2 linked regions of the Saccharomyces cerevisiae S288C genome follow. The protein of the gene in region 1 interacts with the protein of each later gene in a pairwise test. Each region holds a gene or a part of one and is shown on either strand. Other genes may lie near its edges.

Region 1 (3,333 bases):
ACGGAAAAGTCAGTATATTGAATTCTAAGATCGTGGATATCAGGAGAGAGCAACAACTGATGAGAGAACGTGAAGAATCCTTTAGAGACATATCAGAGTCTGTGAATTCTCGCGCAATGTGGTGGACGGTAACTCAAGTTACTCTTCTCATTATAATTTGTGTATGGCAAATGAAAAGTTTACGCTCGTTTTTTGTTAAGCAGAAAGTATTATGACCGTACATATCAAAAAATTGAATCCTTAGCAGGCATACATGAGAATTTCGTTGTTTCAATGATTTATTTCTATTTATTTACATGCATTACCCCGACGCTTCATAGTGTAGTCATTAAATGAGTGTATACATATATATACTAACCTAGTCATCAAGATGTTTTAGGTGTTTCAATTCTTATTATTCATCTATAAAGACAGAATAAATATATACGGTGCGTATCAGATATGCTATTTCAACATACTATCTTTCGATAATCGGATCAAAAAGCTCCTAACGATTGCCATTACAAACCTTCGTCCATCCAGGCCAACGTTTTGTTAATTCCTTCTTCAATACCAACTCTTGGTGTGTAGCCTAGCAACTTTTTGGCCTTAGCAATGTTGTGATAACGGTATGCACACACAATCTTGACTCTGAATGGAGTCAAACCTGGCTCTTTACCCAGCATCTTGGATACCCATTCTGAAAGATAACCTGCACAAATTGCAACTGGCCTTTTCAAAACAATAACATGTTTATCAATATGACCATCTGCCTTCCACACAGTACGGGCCAAGGCCCAAAAATAGGTGGGGGTATCATTGGTAATGAAAAAAGTTTCACCCGAGACAGCAGTTCTTGTTTTTGGATCGAGAAGTTTCTGTGCAGCTAACACATGCGCGTCAGCAACATTTCCAGCATAAGTCCAATCAAATAGATTGTTATTATCACCAATTTGGAACTTCGACTGCCCCAATTTCGCAACCTGTCTTAGACCAGGTACTAATTGCCTATCACCTGGGCCAAAAATACCAGCTGGACGAAGAGCAACAGTATAGAAATCACTGCTTGGATCATTCGCCTTCAAGACCATATCTTCGGCGATAGCTTTAGTCTCATTGTACGCATCCATAGGAACTTCTGGGATTGGCCAGGTTTCGTCTGCATTGTGCACATCTTGCCCATTAAAAATAACACCAGCAGAGGAAGTATATACAAGTATATTAACGCCACATTTCTTGCACATATCTATCACGTTACGGGTTCCCTTAACATTCACTATGTCATAAATATCTGGATTTTGACCATGCATTGGAGAAGCACAATGAACAACAACATTTGCTTTACTTTCGTTAATTGCGTTTTCCATATCATCAGGTGATGTTAAATCACCCTTATGAAATTTTATGTCGTCTACATTAAAAGTAAACTGTTTTGAAAGTTTTTCAGGGAGATCTCTAACATCAAAAATGTGGATGTCTGGCTTAGGATTAATATCAAAAAATTGCTGAATTAAGTGCAATCCAAGAAAACCAGAACCACCGATAATTAAAACTGAATCTATCTTTGACATATTTATTTTTGTTTGCCCTTCCAGGTAGAGTTGCAAATAAAATTGGACAAAATTGACAATCTATATTGTTGTCTATTCTATTTTATAGCTGCAGCATAATCTTTTCCTTGCAGGCTTATATGAGATTTTTAAACGATACCATTTCTCGAGAGAACAATAAACGATCTATAGGGACTATCGGACCGAGAAATATAAAATCCACAAACACCGACAATAAAATAGCCTCTAAAAAAAAAAAAAGGTCCTGGAGAAAGCAATATTCATACCGCATTAACTTTCATTGAACCGAAGATCTACAAATATCCTTTCCTTGCATTATAATTATCCAATACTTTGTCGTCAATATTCTTTCAAAGAAAGAAAAAATATGAAATCAAAATTAAACATTTTTCTGTAATTTCCGTAATACAAAAAACTATTTTCTTTTCGGAAGGCAAAAACAAAAATTATAATAAAAATAAAAATATGTATAATATAATTTTTATCTTCTAACTTTTTATTTATTGAATTTTTATATAGTAAATATAACACGTGATATATTTGAAATGTGATTATATTATATATATTGATGTTTACATATTTTTTATGTAGTACAATTAATTTTCAAATTTATCGAAGCTCTTAAAAAGCTCAAGAAGCAAATTTCCATGAACTACATTCAAAATTTGCGTAGCACCTAAATTCGTTACTCAAACCATTAGAATGTTCAGGAAGAAAAGTTGTTATTCTTGTGTCAGAATAAACTTTGGATATGACTTCAGACATTCTTTCACCAGTACAACTTATGAGGCGGTGCTTAAAAACTCCTTTCTTAGTTTTAGAGTTGTCATTTGGCGCTAATAAACACTTTGCAGTGATAGAGGCTATTTTATATCAATGAATAACAGTTAGTAAGATGAAAAGATACTGGAAAAAAGATTAAAAAATGAGTAGGGATATGTTTATGATATACATACACTTTGTTTGACAATCTTCATTTAAAAAAGGTGGGTCAATTAACAATCTATCAACTTTTCCTTTAATTTCATCACTGAAGTCCAGTGGTTTATTGTAATCATAAAAAAAGAAATGATCTCTTCCAGCTAACAACTCGAATCTCTTATCAAATTCGAACAAGTAGATATGTTCGGTTGGAATTTCATTAGTAGGTTTCTTTTGAATGGCAGCATAGACGGATGGCGCACTAACTATTGCAATTACAGTGTTTTCGTCCGCACCTTCCAATATGGCATCTGCTAAAATTGCGGCTGTGTCATCGCTGTACCAAAACTGGGAAAGCTGCCAATCTTCCTTGAAAAGCTTCATCCCTTCTTCTTTTTTTTTCTTTTGGAAGTCTTCATCCGTTTCGTCGTAAAGCTTTTGAAAGGCTTCTTGATGTTGTTGTTCCTCTCTTTTGAATTCTTCAAGGGCAGCGAGGGCATTAGCAGAAAGTGTCCTATTAAGTTTCGTGTTAGTTAGTAATTCTACGTTACTGTGTTGAAAATATCCTGTACTTACAATTCATAATCGGAGTCGGAGTCGGAGTCGGACATTTTATCAGTGATTCTTTCGGTTTCATTAAGATGTAAAGTGACTGATTAGTATATTAGTCAAGATTAATATTTTTTTTTTTAGTTCCTCCAGTTCAAAAAAATTTTGTTAGATTTAACCGGCATAAGGTTCAGCGATACAGACGAAAAAAGAAGCCTCTAAATGAATGGGAAATTATATATACATGTATATTATGCAGTTGATATTCTATGAGATGACAATACTAAACTATATACCTATATACATTGCCCAT
Region 2 (3,769 bases), on another chromosome or scaffold:
CAGTGCTAGACTTCAGCAAATTTTGAACGCCGTCACCATCATTAGAAGTCAATGAATGGCTTATCTTGTGTTTTAACAGTGCTATCATGACAAATTGGCATATGCACACTAAAATTCCCAAAAGTCCAATTCCAAGAACACACAGTGCTCTTTCGGAGGTCATATAAGCCACTACCCATTCTATTTTTTGTTTAGTCTTTGGGTCAATGTTCTCTGGTGATTTTCCAAAGGTAACAAGATTTGTCATCCAGCCTGCTATTCTTGTGTTCCATGTTTGAAAGCACTGCTGATAGCTTGCAATGACATCATATTGGCCATTTTGTATAGGAGGATCTCTAAATGGATCTTTCAATTCGTGCGTGTTTTCACTGGAAAAGGACGTATACGAATCTTGCCTGCTCAGCATGTAATGGTCTCTCATTCCGCAAAGGCGCCTCCAGAGCTTGATTTCATTCCATGCAACGGGCGCCATCGCACCAACAGCGAAGCATATCAATACGGTAATGCACACTACGGTGGCTATTTTCAGGACATGTCCCAAGATGGAATAAAAGGCCAAAATTTCTGATTGATTGGATGAGCAAATCCCAGTACTGTTGTCAAGGGACACGGGAGGTACGTACAAAACGGAGGTATCTCCGATTATATTGCTGGCATTCACGGCCTTGATATTCTTCCGAACTTCATTGAAGGGAACCGAGATCAGGTTCTTGGTTGTATTCTTAACCTGGGCAAAGTCCGGCGTCTTTGCCGATAACTCTTCAAGCTTATCGTTGATTGAGGAAGGAATGTATAAATTGTGAAGCGCAGATATGGTTAAGTTGACGCTTTTGATTGACGACGTCATGTTACTGTCATCGTCATCACCTGTGAAAAAATTCTCTACTTTGGATGCGGCCTTGATCACTTTATTGATTATTTTGGAGATGTCATTCAAGCCCGTATCCAATTCATTAGCCACACTTGAAACTGTATCATTGACTAAGCTAATCAGTTTTTCTGTAATGTTAGTAGCAACGTCCACGGTACCATCAACGGCACTAACAATCAAACAGGCATAAGTGCCCAAATACAGGTCAATGGCAAAGTTTACCAGCCCCTCGCTCGCATATACTATAAGTGATAACGTCTCTAGCGTAGCTTTAACAGTCTCCTCCATACCCTTCTCGATAAGATAATTCCCCATGATACCTAAATAGTGCGGCGTGTTGTCTGTCATCTTGGAGTATAGTGAATCAATACTGTAACAATTGGACAAAATATACGTTTCCGAGACTTCTATCGCATGTTGTATGGATTTGGAGAAAAACAGAAGCTTCAGCATTGCTAGCAGCAAAACCAAAGTATACTTATTTAGCCATATTTGAGAGAGCCTGTCACCCAATTGCAAATAGCATTTAAAACCGCTCATATCATCAACGTTCACAAATTCGAAAGGGAATCATCCTAACCAAATATTTCGGGATTATCTTAAGGACTTATGTTGGTCACATTCGTCATATATATATACCTCTTGCCAGCAACAGGCCAGTTATAAGTTAAAATTAATATGTGACGCACTTCTGAAACAGTATTGAAACAGTATTGAAACATATGTATTACCCGGACTCTGCATGCTCTGTCGTTCATTTTATTTTCACCTAAACGAAAATCCCGTGAAAAAAATTTATATCGCCTTTCGCTCTTTTGTATGTAGGCATCATCGGAAATTTGCATTGTGTGAAGGTTGTGCATATAAAGGGTTTTGCATAACGGACGTTTTTCACGTACTCCGTCTGAGCATCAAGTGAGGCTTGAGTTTACGTTTGTTTTTAATAATCAGTTTTCATTCTACTATTTTCTTGCGCAATTGCTTATCAGATAGACCTTGTAAACAGCATAGGAGTAAAGACAAATTCGGTGTAGAGAATAAAAGGATGGTATCAGCTTTGAATCCCAGAACTACAGAGTTTGAATTTGGTGGGCTGATTGGTGCCTTAGGCATCAGCATAGGGCTGCCTGTTTTCACTATCATCTTGAATCAAATGATAAGGCCCGATTATTTTATTAAGGGATTTTTCCAGAATTTCGATATAGTTGAGCTTTGGAACGGTATCAAGCCATTGCGCTACTATCTGGGCAATCGTGAATTATGGACTGTCTATTGCCTGTGGTATGGAATACTGGCAGTTTTGGACGTCATTTTACCGGGCAGAGTCATGAAGGGTGTTCAGTTAAGGGATGGTTCGAAGCTTTCGTATAAGATCAATGGAATTGCCATGTCTACAACTTTGGTCTTAGTTTTGGCTATCAGATGGAAATTGACTGATGGACAATTGCCTGAATTGCAATATCTGTATGAAAATCACGTTAGTTTATGCATAATATCTATTTTGTTTTCGTTCTTTTTGGCGACGTACTGCTATGTTGCCAGCTTCATACCATTGATCTTCAAGAAAAATGGTAATGGCAAAAGGGAAAAGATCTTAGCACTAGGTGGAAATTCAGGAAACATCATTTACGATTGGTTTATTGGTAGAGAACTGAACCCTCGTCTCGGCCCATTAGATATCAAGATGTTTTCAGAGTTGAGACCCGGCATGTTGTTATGGTTACTGATCAATCTTTCCTGTCTGCATCACCATTACCTGAAGACTGGTAAAATCAACGATGCATTGGTCTTGGTTAATTTCTTGCAAGGATTTTACATTTTCGATGGAGTACTAAACGAGGAAGGTGTATTAACCATGATGGATATCACTACAGATGGGTTTGGTTTCATGCTAGCGTTTGGTGACTTAAGTTTAGTTCCATTCACCTACTCATTACAAGCGCGTTACTTGAGTGTTTCCCCTGTGGAATTGGGATGGGTGAAAGTTGTCGGTATATTAGCCATAATGTTTTTGGGTTTCCACATCTTCCACTCGGCAAATAAGCAAAAATCTGAGTTTAGACAAGGTAAATTAGAAAATCTAAAAAGTATTCAGACAAAGCGTGGTACAAAGTTATTATGTGACGGGTGGTGGGCTAAATCACAGCATATCAATTACTTTGGCGATTGGCTGATTTCATTAAGTTGGTGTTTGGCCACCTGGTTCCAAACTCCCTTGACATATTACTACTCGTTGTACTTCGCCACGTTGTTATTACACCGTCAACAACGTGATGAGCACAAGTGCCGCCTGAAATATGGCGAAAATTGGGAAGAATACGAAAGAAAAGTTCCTTACAAGATCATTCCATATGTTTATTAAGTTTTTCTACCACTGCTATTTTCTTCATTATCTATGTATGTGTGTATACATGTTATGTATTGGGTGAGTATGAGGAAGAAGAAGAATAACAATTGAAAACGCTGGAAAAATTAAAAGGGGCGGTGGTCTATCTATGCAACGCTCCCCTTTTCGTTACATGAACACATCAAACTTGTATATCCTTTGAGTGTTCTTTAATCAAGTCATCTTGGTATTTTAGTAGCGTTTCCACTACTTTAGGGACAAATTCAGACCTAACCAATCCATCAAAAGCATCAAACCCTTGCGACAAAATCGGAATATCAGACTCGTCATGCATAAACTCTGGAATTTCTAGTTTCCCGTCCGCAAGTATGCCGTCATCATCCTCGTCGTCCTTATTAGTATCCAAATTTGTCACTTTGACGTTCATCGACAACTGTAAGTCAAAGTAGCAAATCGGCTTGCCCTTCCTTTGAGATACGTTGGAGTCACCGGTGATGCTACTCACCTGGGTTAACTCAATTTTGCTCTTCCCATCAGAGGAAACAGTGGAC

The links. The genes of interacting proteins can lie anywhere in the genome.
Region 2: the proteins of ERG26 (region 1) and ERG24 interact in binary tests that used the Saccharomyces cerevisiae proteins (3 or more experiments, as listed by UniProt).

What each region holds. Positions count from the first base shown.
Region 1 is NC_001139.9:494,953-498,285, forward strand, and holds ERG26 (sterol-4-alpha-carboxylate 3-dehydrogenase (decarboxylating)), read right to left. Parts: upstream 1,551-3,333; coding exon 501-1,550; downstream 1-500. Other genes in the region: ERP6 (Erp6p), read left to right, coding at 1-215; EFM5 (protein-lysine N-methyltransferase), read right to left, coding at 2,181-2,413, 2,507-2,985, 3,048-3,082. UniProt on the Saccharomyces cerevisiae protein: Sterol-4-alpha-carboxylate 3-dehydrogenase; part of the third module of ergosterol biosynthesis pathway that includes the late steps of the pathway.
Region 2 is NC_001146.8:108,559-112,327, reverse strand, and holds ERG24 (delta(14)-sterol reductase), read left to right. Parts: upstream 1-1,916; coding exon 1,917-3,233; downstream 3,234-3,769. Other genes in the region: pheromone-regulated protein PRM1, read right to left, coding at 1-1,411; HCH1 (Hch1p), read right to left, coding at 3,400-3,769. UniProt on the Saccharomyces cerevisiae protein: Delta(14)-sterol reductase; part of the third module of ergosterol biosynthesis pathway that includes the late steps of the pathway. ERG24 reduces the C14=C15 double bond of 4,4-dimethyl-cholesta-8,14,24-trienol to produce 4,4-dimethyl-cholesta-8,24-dienol.